Linked DNA regions of Drosophila melanogaster. The protein of the gene in region 3 interacts with the protein of the main gene of each other region in a pairwise test. Each region holds a gene or a part of one and is shown on either strand. Other genes may lie near its edges.

What was found.
Region 1: the proteins of et (region 3) and tub interact in a two-hybrid assay, tested with the Drosophila melanogaster proteins (one large-scale study listed by BioGRID).
Region 2: the proteins of et (region 3) and CG9825 interact in a two-hybrid assay, tested with the Drosophila melanogaster proteins (one large-scale study listed by BioGRID).

Annotation. Positions count from the first base shown.
Region 1 is NT_033777.3:4,385,238-4,390,676, forward strand, and holds tub (tube), read left to right. Parts: upstream 1-2,504; 5' UTR 2,505-2,692; coding exon 2,693-3,155; intron 3,156-3,221; coding exon 3,222-4,147; 3' UTR 4,148-4,576; downstream 4,577-5,439. Other genes in the region: Cont (contactin), read left to right, coding at 1-756, 813-981, 1,043-1,176, 1,232-1,525; CG14646 (uncharacterized protein), read left to right, coding at 5,189-5,439. UniProt on the Drosophila melanogaster protein: Plays an essential role in the Tl receptor signaling pathway that establishes embryonic dorsoventral polarity; the signal directs import of dl into ventral and ventrolateral nuclei, thereby establishing dorsoventral polarity.
Region 2 is NT_033778.4:22,834,943-22,840,154, forward strand, and holds CG9825 (uncharacterized protein), read left to right. Parts: upstream 1-2,418; 5' UTR 2,419-2,493; coding exon 2,494-2,515; intron 2,516-2,779; coding exon 2,780-2,916; intron 2,917-2,973; coding exon 2,974-4,047; intron 4,048-4,114; coding exon 4,115-4,339; 3' UTR 4,340-4,349; downstream 4,350-5,212. Other genes in the region: CG12490 (uncharacterized protein), read left to right, coding at 50-186, 244-1,317, 1,399-1,605.
Region 3 is NC_004354.4:19,670,938-19,677,728, reverse strand, and holds et (eye transformer), read left to right. Parts: upstream 1-1,837; 5' UTR 1,838-1,882; exon of another isoform or gene 1,883-1,925; intron 1,926-2,060; 5' UTR 2,061-2,121; coding exon 2,122-3,224; intron 3,225-4,258; coding exon 4,259-5,093; 3' UTR 5,094-5,417; downstream 5,418-6,791. Other genes in the region: dome (domeless), read left to right, coding at 1-1,190; Zw (zwischenferment), read right to left, coding at 5,543-6,620, 6,706-6,791.

The sequences.
Region 1 (5,439 bases), on a different chromosome or scaffold from region 3:
GAGGGAGCTCCTGGCGCTCCTGGTGGTGTTCAAGTCATACAGATAAGTAAAACGAAGGCCATCATTGAGTGGGTGGACGGATCGCACAACGGTCGTGCGATCCGCTACTACAACATCCTAGGCCGTACAAACTGGAATCGCACCTGGGTTAATGTGTCGACCCATGTGCAGGCGCGAGAAGTAGATCGATACACCTCTCGCCAGCAAGCCGAGGTTGTCAATCTGACGCCGTGGTCGGCTTACGAATTTAGTGTTACTGCTGTAAACGATCTGGGAATCGGAACGCCCTCGGCCCCCTCGCCAATTTACAGCACCTATGAGGACAAACCATACATAGCCCCGAGGAACGTGGGTGGTGGAGGTGGAAAGATTGGCGACCTAACTATCACCTGGGATCCGCTTCTACCGCAAGAGCAGCATAGCCACGGCATACACTATAAAGTGTTTTGGAAGCTCAAGGGAGCCATTGAATGGGCATCTGACGAAATAAAAAAACAGGATCACATGGGCGTGGCTGTGGTTAATATTCCTCTTAATAACTACTATACGGAGTACGAAGTCAAAGTCCAAGCCATTAACAGTGTTGGCAAGGGACCGGAGAGTGAAATAGCTGTCATACACTCCGCTGAGGACATGCCACAGGTGGCTCCTCAAAAGCCCATTGCGCTCGCCTACAACTCCACATGCTTTAATGTCACTTGGCAACCTATAGACATGTCCCGTGAAAACATTCGTGGCAAACTCATTGGCCACAGGGTATGGTTACTGCACTTAATTCCATTGCATTGTCAAAAACCCTTATCTTTCACCAGTTGAAGTATTGGAAAACGACGCACCAGGAAGAAGACTCGGTATACTACCTGTCACGTACTACAAGGAATTGGGCGCTTATCGTAGGTCTACAACCAGATACTTACTACTTTGTTAAAGTCATGGCTTACAATGCTGCAGGTGAAGGACCTGAAAGCGAACGCTTTGAAGGTGTGTAACGAACAGTTTAAAAAACCATTTAAAGAAAATGCTTAAACACCATGCTTTTTAGAACGAACATATAGAAAGGCCCCGCAAAAGCCGCCATCTTCGGTTCACGTGTATGGAATAAACCCGTCTACCGTGCGGGTTGTTTGGAGATATGTTTCACCTTCGCAAGACGAGGAACCAGTAGAGGGTTATAAGGTACAACTCCCGGCACCGTGACCAAGAAAATCGATTACAGTTTGAAACTTTCTAGGTTCGCATTTGGGAATCGGACCAGAACATGATTACGGCCAACAATACCATAGTGCCAATCGGACAGAAACTGGAGTCGTACATCAACAATCTGACGCCAGGGAAGAGTTACAACATGCGAGTCCTCGCATACAGCAATGGAGGAGACGGTCGCATGTCCAGTCCAACTTTACACTTCCAGATGGGCAAGACCACGCGCAACGGCGCAAATACCCGACATGGCCACAATATCAATACGGCTCTTATCTTAAGCACATTGCTACTCATTAGCACCTTTCTTTACACAAGCCAATGAATGCAGCACAAATTAAGATCCATAACTTTAGGCAGTAAGAACATACATATACTAAGAAGTGACCTTATATTTGAGTAAGTGAAGTTATAAAAAGAACTACATTCCATCCGTGCTCTCTTGCAAGCCCCTTAATTGATACAAATGCAATTCCGTCCATTTTATAGACTTTTATCAAAAAATAATTTCTAAAATTTTATCAACAAAATAAATATGAATACCATTATATGGTCCAGTATGTTGCTGAACTAAAAATAACAATATCCCTATTTTTTTACTTGGAATAATGAATTATGAATTAATTATGAACGTGTGCCCCGGTTGGCCATATTTATGTCCCTTTTTGTTCACCTGGTAATACTACTCCTGCATTTTATACCCGATACTCGTGAAGTAAAAGGGTATACCAGACTAGTTAAAAAATATGTAGCAGGTAGAAGAGGTCTTGATCAGGATCGATCTGGCCATGTCCGTCCCTATGGACGTCGAGATCTCAGAAACTATCACAAATCAAAATTAATTATTGTCCAAAAATATCAAAAAGAACTAAGAACTAAGTGTTTATTTTTGGTTTTTCGATTATTTATTTTGCTGCTATTTCATCGCCCGCGTAAAACGGGCGGACATGGCTATATCGACTTGTCTGTTTTTACTGATTAAGAATATTTAATACTTATATATATGTATACGTAAATGTCTATTCGAATTTCCTTTCTACCAGGTACCCGGTATTCTTCTACAATTACAAACGAAAGCCATCTATCGGTGGGGTTACATTTATTGCTCACAACGCCGGAATATGTCATTAATGAAAAAAAAAGTTTGGTTTTTTCTTACTTTGCGTTAAAAATTAGTGCAGTATTGCAAATGGCTAGCTATTTTCCGCATACGGAAATACCACACAATACCAATCGGCTTCGGGAATCCCCCTAATATTACATGACGAATCTAATATGGTGCTGCGGTCCTCCTCGGTCACACTGAAATACTGCGAGCAGCGAGCAGTAGCTGTGGGCATTGGCAAAAACATAGAGAGAGAAGATAGATGCAAACATGGTTTTATAGCGGAAATCTCATACAATCGCACTGGACATCTGGGAACTTGAACCATCGACCTGCCACAGGCAAAGGCTTTCCCGTAAGGTTATCCTGGGTAGCTAAGGGAACACCATGGCGTATGGCTGGAACGGATGCGGAATGGGCGTGCAGGTGAACGGAAGCAACGGCGCCATAGGTTTATCCTCGAAGTATTCTCGCAACACGGAGCTGCGACGCGTTGAGGACAATGACATTTACCGGCTTGCCAAAATACTAGATGAGAACTCATGCTGGCGCAAATTGATGTCGATCATACCCAAGGGCATGGATGTGCAGGCCTGCAGCGGAGCCGGATGCTTGAATTTTCCGGCGGAAATCAAAAAGGGATTTAAGTACACTGCGCAGGACGTGTTCCAGATTGACGAGGCTGCAAACCGACTACCGCCGGACCAAAGCAAGTCGCAGATGATGATCGACGAGTGGAAGACCTCTGGCAAGCTCAACGAGCGGCCCACGGTTGGGGTATTGCTCCAACTTCTGGTGCAGGCAGAGCTCTTCAGTGCGGCAGACTTTGTGGCACTAGACTTCCTAAATGGCAAGTATGACTATGTTTGCCTTAAACTGACAAAACTAAAAAAAGTGTATCCACTGACTTCTCTAGAGTCCACCCCTGCCCGGCCTGTTGACGGTCCCGGTGCGCTCATAAGCCTTGAGCTGCTGGAAGAGGAAATGGAAGTGGACAACGAGGGGCTGAGCCTCAAATACCAGTCAAGCACTGCCACTCTTGGGGCAGACGCTCAAGGTAGCGTTGGCCTGAACCTGGACAACTTTGAAAAAGACATTGTGAGGCGGGACAAGAGTGTGCCCCAGCCGTCAGGAAACACCCCTCCCATAGCGCCACCTCGACGACAGCAAAGGAGTACTACTAACTCCAACTTTGCAACATTGACAGGCACCGGAACTACGTCGACGACCATCCCGAATGTGCCCAATCTGACAATTCTCAATCCCAGCGAACAAATTCAGGAGCCAGTGCTGCAGCCACGACCGATGAACATCCCCGATCTGTCTATACTCATTTCGAACTCTGGTGATTTGCGGGCAACTGTGTCGGACAACCCAAGCAACAGAACTAGCTCAACGGATCCGCCTAACATTCCGCGAATCACTCTTTTAATTGATAATTCTGGAGATGTAAACTCTCGACCAAATCACGCTCCAGCGAAAGCTTCAACGGCTACCACATCAACGGCGAGCTCAAACAACTTGCCAATGATAAGCGCCTTGAATATAAGTAAAGGCAGCAGGGAGACCTTGCGTCCTGAGAGCAGAAGCAGCTCCAGCAGCTTGAGCAAAGATGATGACGATGATAACGATGGTGAGGAGGATGGAGAGGAAGAGTACCCAGATGCCTTCTTGCCAAATCTGAGTAACTCAGAGCAGCAGAGCTCAAACAATGACTCCAGCCTGACAACGGTTACTGGCACCAGTGGTGATAACAGCTTTGAGCTAACCAACGACTCCAGCTCCACCTCAAACGACGATTACGCTTGCAACATTCCAGACTTGAGTGAGCTGCAGCAATAGATAAAAGCACCGACCATCGGCGGAGATGACATTCCGTTCGATAACTTATGCAACCCAGATGTATTCATTTGGCAGCTGGGTGTGGACCTTCTTATGTTATGCATGAGGTCCAACTAGAATCTAAGATTCAGTGCACGATTTGTTCATATCACGTCTGTAATCGTGACAGTACATGACAAGTACGGCAATATCAAATATTTCCGTTTCAAGAAAGCCATAACCCAATACCAAAATTTAACAAATTTTGTATACTTACGAAATACTCCTTCATTTTCTAGTATAAATTTCCTTAAACGCATAATGGGTTTCTGTGACAGTTTTGTCTTGGGACAAACTGCGATCTTATGACATTTTTCGTTATTAATTGATTGTTGCCTAAAATATTTCACAAGTACGATATAATGGCTAAATACAAATAAAATATTTTTGAAAACATTGTCTGTTTTTCTCGACGTTCATACTGATAATATACCACATGACCGCTTAAGTCAAAGCCTTTTTCAGGGCTGTAAGTTCAAGAGTTTAAGGCGACTGTTTTTTCTCGGTGAAAAAACTTTAGGTTTTTCAAATGAACGAATGCATTTTGTATGTAATTTTTGTACTATTTTATTTATGTGCACAGGTTAGTTTCGTTTAGTTACTAAATTAATACACTGTTGTCCGTTCCAAAATGTACACTTACCTTTCTCCTCGGATGACATGTCCATTGCCTTTTCCGTATAACTGCAAATTTTTGATTTTAATTGTTTTATTTTTGTTGTTCGAAACAGCAAACAGTATTACTCCACATTTGCTCTAATGCCCCGTGCCCGTGGCACGCAGAATAGTCGATCTTCAAACTGCTGACAATTAAAAATGTCTCGCACCTTGTTTTTATTTAAATTCTCATTTGCTATGGCGGGCGCGGTACGATATTGGTCCCGTGCTATCGCGTACCATTCATAATATCGATATCTTAAGAACAATAATCGGGAATTTGTTGGACACCTCTAGTGTTCGACGAAACCACTGAGCCAAACAAAATCCGAAATTATTCGCAACATGGACGAGTCGGAGCTGCTATTCAATCTGTTTTATATTCTGTTGTGCATGGTGATCATCTACCCGCCAGAGGAGTTCCAACGCCTGGGATTCACCATTGAACAGTTGTTCGCTCGGTTCCTGGGAGAAGAGTACCTGGACTTTGTAGGCTACCACCAGCGCCGTACTTCGCTGAATCTCTTCGTGCACTCCTGTCTGCCCTTCTCCTACTTTCTTATTCATAGGCTCAAGTTCTCCGTCTTCGCCACGCA
Region 2 (5,212 bases), on a different chromosome or scaffold from region 3:
TGTAGGCAGAAAGTAGCAGCTTTAATACCAGTTCGTTTTGTTATTGCAGGACCCGTTCTGGGAATGAGGCATGTCCAGGCGCTACTGATCTTCCTCAATATAACTACCGTATTCATAGGCCGCCTAAATGTGGGCGTGTCTGTGGTGGCAATGACCAATGCGGAAACCACGAACCCGAACTTTCCGGTAAGAATAGGGATCCTATAAAGAAAATACTACTTAGCTCACTAGATTCTCTACTAGGAATACGATTGGACGGAGGCAGAGAAGTCGTATATATTCTCCAGTTTCTTTTGGGGCTACATCTTGACCCAATTTATAGGTGGCTATCTCTGCAAGCGCTTTGGAGTCAAGAGTGTAATGTTTTGGGGTGTCTTTGTATCTGGTGTCTGCAGTGCATTGACCCCGCTCTTCATCGGTTTTGGCGGATGGCAGGCCTACTGCGGAATTCGCGTGGTTATGGGCTTGGCACAGGGACTAGTTTTTCCCTGTATTCATCACCATTTGGCCAAATGGTCACCTCCGGCGGAACGAAATCGGTTGGGAGCTCTTAGTCACACTGGGATGGAGTGCGGCAATGTAAGTGCCATGTTCTTGAGCGGAATGATAGCCAAAAGTGCCATTGGTTGGCCAGGAATATCATATGTCTCCGCAGGATTAGCCTTCGCCTGGTGTGCCATTTGGTTCGTTTTTGCCGCTGACAATGCAGTGGAATCTCGTTACATAACCCAGGAAGAACTCCACTATATCGAATCGTCTCTGAAGCACAATGAGGACTATCACAAGACCGTAATTCCCGTACCATGGATGGCGATTTGGACCTCGGCACCATTTCTTGCTCTTACGCTGACGCGTTGTTGCGCGACCTGGGGTCTGAGCACCCTCCAGGCCCAAATCCCAACTTATATGAACGGAGTTCTGGATATGGACATGAAAAGCAATGCATTCTTTTCGGCATTACCATTTCTGGCCATGTGGATTATGTCGTATGTGTACCTGATAATCGCCGATGTTCTGCTCGCCGGAAACAGGCTGAGTTTAACGGCCCTCCGGAAGACCTTCAACTCGTTGGCCTTCTGGATTCCTTGTGCCACTTTGATTGGAATCGGATTCCTGGATCAGGAGCAGAAGAACCTGGCAATTGCTTTGATGACCATCAGTGTCGGTGTCAACAGTGGAGCAACAATCGGAAGCTCCTTGAACACCATAGATCTATCCCCGAATCATGCGAGTATTCTAATGGGAATCTTGAATACGGCTGTTACTGTAGTGCCTATAGTAACCCCTTTGATTGTTGGAGTTATTGTTCATGAAGACGTAAGTTTGCACTGTTAGTGTTTATAAACAGGGCAGTGATAAATAAGTATAAATAAGAAGACTTTCTGTTGATTGTTTCAGGATAACCGTGCTGAGTGGCAGATAGTGTTCATAATTGCGGCAGTACTTTTTTTTGTCGGAAACTCGGTGTACCTATACTTTGGAACGGCTGTTTCACAACCCTGGGATGCTGAAGACTACCTCACAGTAAAGGTGCCAGAGCTAGCTAAAGTTCCAGCTATCCATGAAGCTGGTAAAGGTATTGATGACCTTCCACGAAGTCCTTGAATTGAAGTTCTATCGATAGCACTTAAGTCTTCAGTTAACATAGAAACTATTTAAAACAACAAAGCAATCAAAATAATTTAGAGTATTATTATTAAATTTAATAAGATTTAAGATCTACATCAGTACATTTCATTTGTTTATTAAACGTATAAGTAAAACGATTTGTTTGAATTAAAATGTTTGAGCGTTATTTGCTTATCAAAAGTCGTCAAATTTACCAAAGGTGCGGCCATAAATCAATCCAATAATGGTATGGCAGTAACTACTCTTGATATTACCAATTGATTTTGGAACGCCACACGACCAGGCAATGCTGTTCTAAACAACCTCGTTTAACAGTAGAAAAGGAACTGCAGGTAGGATATTTTCGTCAAGATATCTAAAATTAACTATTAAAGGTGCAAAACCTTGGCTTCTTTCTTGACTAAGTAACCTGAAGGCCGAAATGCCCACCTATTCGAAAAAGGGTTCTCGATATGGCCATGAAAAAGCAATGCATTCTTTTTGGCGCTAACATTTTAGGCCATGTTGCTTATGTGGCATCTATCTTTTACCGAATCGTGCCAGAATCCTTACTAGAATTGTAGAAATGGATGAAAATAATGATTTATTGATTGATTTACAATATTCTGACTAATGACATAATAACTAGTTTGTAAAGTACAACAATTTTTTAATGACGCTTTTTAATTCAATGGTTAAATTCGCCCGCTGTATGACCTTATCACCTGACGTGTCGTATCAGATAAGCAACATTTGGCTTATCGTCTAATTCAATTTGGATTTAAATCCACTCTATGTTCGTGGTCTCACTCACTTAACTTCCCACAGTGATTCCGATCGGTCGTTTAAAAGAAGTCAGGAGGTGTTTTGTTGACCAAATCAAAAATGACGGCCGAGACAAACAAAGGTGCGTGAAAGGAAATCCTTCGGTTCGGATAAGAGTTTGTGAATGAATTGACACCCAACGAACTTGACACAGTGGAAAACCCCTTCATGGCTCAGACCTTGCACTCCGTCTGATTTCTGGGCTTTTCGCACACGCATTGAGTGGTCATAAATTACTACAATAATGGCGCGATAACCGAGTCTCAAGAGCAATTCAGACTTATTTACCCAACTGTTTGTAGACAGGAAGTAACAGTGATAATACCAGTTCGTTTTGTTATTGCAGGACCCGTTCTGGGAATGAGGCATGTCCAGGCGCTACTGATCTTCCTCAATATAACTACCGTATTCATAGGCCGCCTAAATGTGGGCGTGTCTGTGGTGGCAATGACCAATGCGGAAACCACGAACCCGAACTTTCCGGTAAGAATAGGGATCCTATCAAGAAAATACCACTTAGCTTACTAGATTCTCTACTAGGAATACGATTGGACGGAGGCAGAGAAGTCGTACATTCTCTCCAGTTTCTTTTGGGGCTACATCCTAACGCAATTCCTTGGAGGTTATCTCTGCAAGCGCTTTGGAGTCAAGAGTGTAATGTTTTGGGGTGTCTTCGGATCTGGTGTCTGCAGTGCTTTGACGCCGCTGTTCATCGGATTTGGAGAATGGCAGGCCTACTGTGGAATTCGAGTTCTAATGGGATTGGCCCAGGGAGTGGTATTCCCCTGCATTCATCAGCACCTGGCTAAATGGTCACCGCCCGAGGAAAGAAATCGGTTGGGAGCTCTGAGTCACACTGGAATCGAGTGCGGCAATGTGAGTGCCATGTTCCTGAGCGGAATGATAGCCAAGAGCTCCCTGGGATGGCCCGGAATCTCATATGTCTCGGCTGGAGTGGCCTTCTTCTGGTGTACATTATGGTTCGTCTTCGCTGCCAACCATCCTACGGAATCTCGTTTCATAGGAGAGAACGAACTGATCTATATTGAGTCGTCTCTAAAGCACAATGAGTCATACCACGCTACCATTATACCCATTCCCTGGAAGGCAATTTGGACGTCGGCACCATTCCTGGCCCTGCTCATAGTACGATGCGCTGAGAACTGGGGACTGAGCACTCTGCAGGCCGAGATCCCATCCTATATGAACGGAGTCCTCGACATGGACATGAAGAGCAATGCGTTCTTCTCGGCACTCCCATTCTTGGCCATGTGGTGCATGTCGTATATTTACCTAGTCGTAGCCGATGTGCTCTTGGGCAAGAACTCGGTGTCCTTGACGATTTTGAGAAAGACCTACAACTCCATTGCCTTCTGGATTCCTGCTGCCACTTTGGTGGGCATTGGCTTTTTGGACAAGGAACAAAAGAACTTCGCGATTGCTCTGATGACCATCAGTGTGGGCGTGAATAGTGCTCAAACCATTGGCAGTGTTTTAAACACAATTGATCTATCGAAAAATCACGCTAGCATTCTAATGGGAATTGTGAATACAGCGGCGAATTTCGTGCCCATAGTCACTCCTTTAGTTGTTGGATGGATTGTTAAGGAAAATGTGAGTGCTTGCAAAAGTTGGTAGGAAGTAAAGATTTTTAATTGCTTATTGTATCCTTTCCTTTCAGTCTGATCGCTCCCAATGGCAGATCGTGTTCATCATTGCCTCCGTAATCTTCTTTGTGGGCAATTGCATTTACTTGGTGTTTGGCACGGCCGAAACTCAGCCCTGGGATGCCGAGGACTATCTGCAGACACAGAACCCGGAACTTGCCAATAGACCACCTATGCAGGCGTTATCCTTTCCAATTAACGAAAATTCCAAAGAGAAAATTAATAGTAAAAGCCATTAATTCTTAACCCATTTAACGCATTTATTTTTTAGACTAGTCTGGATAACCAAATTTACATTTTAGCATTTGGTTTTTATTTGTTCACTTTAGTGGTCTAAAAATCATAACTTGGTAGAGAGATAGCAAACGATTCTTTTATCTATAACTGACACTCAAATTGAGTTATTCTTGATATTTTGAAAATGCCATTGAGGGCGACATCACTAAATATTTTTAATTACAAGTCCGCAGTCTCAAGAGCTAGTCAGCTATTATTGTTTTGATTGCTCGAAAATATAGACATATTCTTGTGTTTAAAATTCCCTTAGTTACCGTCGCTAGTAGACTGAATTATAGAGCATTTAGTTCTGCAGTTCATTTTTAAGATGCCGTTTGCGAAGACCTAAAAATATTATCTTACGTACAACGATCTCGTCATTGCACTTCTCGCCATATGATTTGTGATAAAAAAAATTGGCAATGCCCACAGTATCACTAAATGGTACACACCTTTATGGTTTCTTTGGAACAAAAATTTAAGGCGCGACCTATAACTTTAGTAAGTGACTCATCGTTCGAAATGAAGGAAAACCCAGTTTCCAATTTCTTCCACCAAGATTTGTGAGAACCTTTCAAAGCTCTGTTATCCCTGAGCAGATAACTAAAGCTCTGCTGGTAATCTCAAATGGAGCCTACTTAGCTTTGGCTCATAACACACTCAAGCAAGGGGAATCACTCGAGATTGTAATGGCCAGGCGAGGAATTGGCTGAGATTAGAGTTTTCTTTAAATTCATAAAGTTCAATAAATTGACATTATAAACATTATAAATACTTTGGCCGTGTGGCTCGGTACAGTATCGATTAGTTGATTATTTATTTAACTGGTAGCATCG
Region 3 (6,791 bases):
TGAAGGCCATGTACCAGACCATTGAGGTGACCGTGGCGATTCTCGTGCTGGGCGTCATCTTCTACCTCGTGTACAAGAAATACCGCAAGATGTCCGATATCGGTCTAGTGCTGCCGCAGGGAATCATGGAGACCATGAAGAAGCCCATAGACATGGGTGGCCTGGGATTGGGCCTGGGTCCAGACTCGTCCGTCAGCGGAGGCATCGTGTGCACACGGGTGGACGACTCGCCGCCATACACGCCGCAGGATCTGCCGCACGACTTCAGTAGCTGCGGCAGTGAGAGCTCGAAACTGCTGCTGCGCACAGCGTCCTCCTCTGGTGGCGGCGGCTGCGTGGATCGCGATGGATACGATGACAATCACGAGACAGGGCCAATTAGCGCAGTTGGTCCGCCCACCAGCTACCTGGCCATGCGGCATGGCCTTCTCGTCCAGAACGACAGGGAGCGCGAGAGGGAGAGGGATCGTGAGCAGGAGAGGGAGCGGGAGCAGCAGCAACAGCAGCGCGAGAGCGAAATGGATCGGGAGCAGAGTTGCACCAATGGTTACATCAAGCCCACACAGATGAAGAGCTGGGGCGGCAACGGTCCCTCGGATAATGATCACACGTTCTCAGTTCCTTCGACTGCAATGACCGCTCCGATGTCCCAGCCGCTGTCCCAGATTCCGCTCAGCGGCTACGTGCCCGTTCCCATTCCACAATCTCGGTTCAATCCGGCTCCAGTTCAACCGTTTGGGTCGCCAGCAGTACCTTCCGCCGCCACCGCAGCCGCTGCGTCGACCTTTTTCCCACCGGCCCACTTGCTCAACATGGACAACTACGTGCAGGCCTCGGATCTGCACAAGCTGAAGCCGCTCGTCGCAGCTCCGTTGTCGCAAACCGGAGGACCAGCCTTTGCGGGATCTTCGCCAGCAACTTCGCCACCGCTACAGCTACCGCCGGTTCACGCCGCAAGTCCAGCTGCCGCCACGCCCAAAATGGCTGACATCGGCTATACCACCATGGAGCAGTTGCAGCTCACTGGGCTGATAAAGCCACCTCTGGCCGCCACCGTGGGATCGCCGACGCACGCCGCTGGTGGGGCGCCGGGAGGCGGCAACCAGCACTCTCGCCTCCAGCCGCAAATCAATGGCTACGTAACGCCGCAGGATCTGAACGCCATGGCCCACAATCGGCACGTCCTCTAAGATACCGGAGCGCTCATCATTTATGCACGGGTGTGCATCATTTTATCGTTTCCTCGCGTTCGCATCGATAATTCATCAACTCATCTTCAGCCGCATATCCTTCCAACGCCATGATCTGGTCACCGGATCGCCCCAGCAACCAAAATCCAGGACGAGGAACCCAGAACCCAGAACCTGTAAACTAGAATCTGGAATCTGGAAACTAGAAACCACTGTCGGGCAGCTGTTTATAGTAATTAGTGAAAACTCCTCGGACGAATGTAGTTTTACGTTTGTAATTTATTTTGTATTCTTTGCGATGCGTGTGAGGCAGAAAGTATTTGTAACGCAATAGTATTTTTTTATATATATTCGTACTGTACACTTACTTACCCACTTAACCATCCACGCGTCGAGCGGATCGAGCTTATACTATTAATACCCTATTTACACAATACGCACATCGCTGTATTTCAATATAAAGCTAATTTTAAATAAGATTTCAAATTGGCTTTTTGATTCTCTCGCGAGCTTTGGCGATAAGTTAGCTATACATACATACATACATATACTTGTTCATATATACATATATGGACGTATATGCGCGCCTGGCTGTCCCTATCGATATGCTCCATCCAAGCTGGCGTTTGGGTCTCGCGATTGAGCTCAGTCGCACAGATCGCTCTCGAGCAGTCGGATCCCACGAGCTGGAGGTACGCTTGCCTCCACACTGGACACCACCACGGATTCAAGATCGTAAAGTCTTGCGGTCTTATCAGCATGCCCATGCATTTTGCACTCAACTCATTTGCTTTCTCCTCGTCGAGTGGATGTTTGAAATATGTACATACATAGTTCCGTAATCGGGCTGTATCCAATTTCTAATTCCAGCGCCTAGCTTTAGAAGCATCGGAAGTTGCGATTAGGAGTCACTGCGGAGAAAGGAGCACCCATGGGCTGGAGGACGCGTATAAGCCGCCTGCTTTCGCTGACATTGCTGGCGACGCTCATGGCCCGTGCGCTGGCGGAGAATGCGTTGCATATGCCGCAGGCGAACTGCGAGATGCAGTCCCTCGGCGGACCTAGCTGGCGTTCCGGCACCATCGGCAAGGTGTCCTGCAAATGTGACGGTGGTGAGGGTAGGAAGATGTCTGTGCGAAGGCAGGGCACAATAGAATCAACGGACTCGTACAACGGCACCGTGGTGCACGTGGATGCAAATCCAGCCAACGAGTGGGAACGAAGGTATGAGTGCCTTCTGGATGGCGTCATCCAGAGTCATGTGTGCGTCCGAGTCTATGCCCTGCTGAATTTGAAGGATTTCGTATGCCGCGACGTGGTCTATTACTTGAGGTGCACCTTCAGCCGCATGGAGAACGGCAATTTCGAGAACAAAACCCACTACCAGCTGGCCATGGGCAGGGCCAAGCCAATCGACTGCAGGAAGTCGGAGGACGAACGCAGCAGGGGCAAAGTGGAGTGCTCCGTGCCCATTGATCCGAACAGCCGTGCACCGGAATGGAGGGATTTCAGGCTGATCATGAGCGACGACTTGGGCAACCAGAGCAAGGTGCTGAGGCTAACGCAAGCCGAAATGGAGGTGCTGGAATGGCCACGCGGCAAGCACAACATGATACAAACGCCCAACCAGACTTGTCTGGAGTGGAACGGACCCTTCATTTACCCGAATCGAACGTTTGAACTGAACGTGCAGTTCCGCCACTCCAAGCTGCCCAACTTGTCGAGGAATCTCACCGTTTCGCAGATGCGAGCTGTCAGTGTTTTCGACCAGGTCTGCTTTGGAAATCCACCGGAGGGCAATCAGTTGTTCTATGTTAGCCTAAGCCGTCGTCTCCATGGATCCCCCTGGTCGGAAAGGTACCCCGAGTTCGAACTCACCACGAATGCATCCTTGCCCGCCCGTCCGCCACGGTTCCTGGCCAATGGCTTCTCCCACGACCGTGCTAAAAGGGAGCTCAAAGTCTACTGGTTGCCGCTGGACGAGCTGGAGTTCAATGGAGCCGAGCAGACATACGTGGCGAGCACTAGGTACGGGTAAGCACTACATGCACTAGATTACCATGAGATTACCATCGAGACCTAAAAAGAGTTTTTCAAAAACATATTGAGCTTTAAAAACCGAAAGCCTAGTAAATCATTTTAGAATCTTTGGCACATTAAGCGCCCTATTTACATACAACAAGAGATCTCCGCGAATTCGACTATCAGATACCCATTACCTTACATACGGCAAGTCGTGCGTTACGTTTGCAAAAAGGCTCGCTCATAACTTTTTAATGCATGTATCCGATTTGAAGAACTTTCGGCACTTTATAGCATTTTATAGTATTGATGGGCAAAACAAGGACTTATTTCACAACTTATTTAGGTCACCTGACAGATTTGAACCTCCCAAAAGTGGAACTATGTATTTTTTTGCCATTAGCATATGCCGAAATATGTTTAGAATGCTCGATATATACCTCGTTTTATACCCGTTACTGGTAGAGCAAAAAGGGTATTCTAGATTCGTTGAATACGTATGTAAAAAGCAGAAGGAAGCGTTTCCAACCACATAAAGTATATATATTCTTGTTCAGGATCAATAACCGAGTCGATCTGGCAATCTCCAACTCAGGAACTATAAAAGCTAGAAGTTAAAGCTAGAAGATTAAGCATACAGATTCTAGTGAAATAGATAGCAGCGCATGTTTGCCCACAAATCGTTCAGAACTGCCACTCCCACACTTTTCAAAAATGTGTTGATATTTTTTCAAAATTTTTTTAGTCTTGTAAATTTCTATCGTATTGTAAATTTCTATTTGCCACAAACTTCTTGCCACGCCCACTCTAAAGTAGTAGTTTCGTAGTTGTGTTCTTGGTAAATAAAGCAGTTTCTAGTGATCTTCAACTTAAATTGGGTTAAAATAATAATCGAAATAATCCTAAAGGATTAAATTAGTTCATTTTGCTCCAGTATTGAAAGTTATATGTTCATCCCAGTTATTTCTAGGCGGGTTTCGTCACTACCGATAATATTATTTACAATAAACTAGCCAGCAGGAAAGACTAAATGCTTTTCATTTCAGAACCAAAGTGGCCACCACCCAGGGCAGCATGCTCGCGATCTTCACCGACTGGGATGACACGCAACCGGCCACAGTGTCTGTGTGGAGCAGCAATGTCGTCGGTCGATCGCTGGAGAGCAGCCAGCTGGAGGTGCCCAGACTGAGCGACATCCGGGATCGACGGATTTACCTGGAGAGCTACAATAAGACGAGCTCCAGACTCAGCTGGCAAGGGCCGGAGGAGCTGGGAAACTTCACTGGCTACATAGTCTATTGGTGCAAGCTATCCAGCAAAGTGCACGATGCCTGCGACGATAGTTCCTCCATCGAGACGACCTACGCCCGCGAGACGGCGTACAATTTCTCCGGAATCCAGGGCGTGATCCGGATGGCTGTGGCGGCCAACTACAGCGACGGCCTGACCACCGGGATGCGCTGGTGGTCCGGTGACAGCGAGGTGCCCGAGAAGCCAAAGATCTTGCGGTACGTGGAGGGCACCATCGCTCTGCTGGTGCTTGGGTCGCTCGTCTTGGCCATTCAGAAGCTGCGCCAAATGGCGGACATCCGGGTTGAACTGCCAGTGATGAGCGAAGAGCCCACAGCAAATCCACTTGGCGATGTACGCCTGTTCTATCCCGCCAATGTTCCGCCGGAGAAGTTCTACGGCACAGTGCGCAAAACCGTGACATTTGCGGAAGAGGAGCCCACGAGGTGGCCGGAGATAGAGCTGCAGGAGGTGCCCAGACCACAGCCCGTGCCCCAGGCCGATGCGTACGTAACCAATCAGTATGTGTCCATGAGCGCAATAGGCGCGCCCTGCGGCGATGGGTACATCAAGCCGCCACCCGTGCGCTGAAATCTCTCGGGAAGATTGCTGCCCGCTCTTGTTGTAGTTCGCCTGTAAATCTATATTCGAGAGGAGCCGCTAGTAACTAGCCCGGCTCAGCACCGAAGCCCACTGACCAGAAGCATACTCATTATTTAGTTAGTATTACAACCGTAGGGTTACGTTTGCCACCCATCTGCCATCCTATGAAGGATCTATTTATGTACATCGACACGCATGCGATCGGCATCACCACATACACATCGAACTAGCCGGGATTATGAGTTAGAAGATCGTTCTGCTCCAGCTAAACACTATTTTGTATATTTAATAAAAAAAAATCTTGTACAGACCGAATTACAAATAACCAAAGAATGCATATATGTATATATACATATATATGTATGTATGTACATGTACGTGCGGACAGAGAGGAGTATCCTGCGAACCCAGCCCGGGGATTGGTGTGCTCCAAACGCTCAGTGATTGGACGTGGCCGCCTTGCCGCCGTGCCACTTGTAGGAGCCGGAGTACTTGAAATTGTTCTCCTCGCACTTGCGGTCCGCCTCCTTGGGACCGCGCGATCCGTACTGGTAGGTGATTGGCCGAATGTGCTCCTTCTCGATCTGGTGCAGAATGGGCGTAAATATGCGCCACGCCTCGCGCAGCTCGTCCGAGCGGACGAAGTGCATCTGGGAGCCGCAGAAGACGTCGAGGATGAGACGCTCGTACGCGTCCGGCAGGTAGGAGTCCTTGTAGCGGTGCTCGTAGGTGAGGTCCAGCTCCGTCTCCTCGATGTCGAACGTGATGCCGGGGCTCTTGGTCATCATCTTAAAGTACAGGGCCTCGCCCGGCTGGACGCGGATGACCAGCTCGTTGCGCTTCGTATTGCCCTCGAAGATGTCGCCGGGCACGTCCTGGTACTGGATACGCACCTCCGCCTTGCGCTCGTTCAGCGCCTTGCCGCAGCGCAGGATGAAGGGCACTCCCTGCCAGCGCTCGTTGTTGATCTTGAGCACGCCGAGGGCGTAGGTGGGCGTGTTCGAATCGTTGCTAACGGTGGGGTCCTCCACGTAGCCCGTGCGCGCATCATCGTTTGTACCCTGCGGATTGCCCAGGTACTGGCCCAGCACCATGTCATCCAGCGTCAGGGCCTCGATGCTCTTCAGCACCTTGACCTTCTCGTCACGAATGTCGTCCGGGTGGCAGCTCACCGGCTTCTCCATGGCCACCAGCGAGAGGATCTGCAGCAGATGGTTCTGCATCACGTCGCGTATGATGCCGAACTCGTCGAAGTAGCCGCCACGACCCTGCGTGCCGAAGGGCTCCTTGAACGTGATCAGCACGGAGGCGATGTTCTCGCGGTTCCACGTCGAGCTGAGGATCTTGTTGCCGAAGCGTATGGTCATCAGGTTCTGCACCATCTCCTTGCCCAGGTAGTGATCGATGCGGTACAGCTGATCCTCCTGGAACAGACCGGCCAGATGGTCGCTCAGCGCCTGCGAGGAGGCGTCATCCCGGCCGAAAGGCTTCTCGATAATCACGCGGTTCCAACCGCTGCAAGCGAACGGGTTATAGGTGTACATAAGTATCGGGTTTCAAATTAAATGCATCTGGATCTTGATCTTGATCTTATACTCACCAGACCGACATGCAGATCTGCTTGATGTTGACAGTCACCTCCTCGAAGACGCTGGGCGGCAGGGCCAGATAGAAGATGCGGTTGGC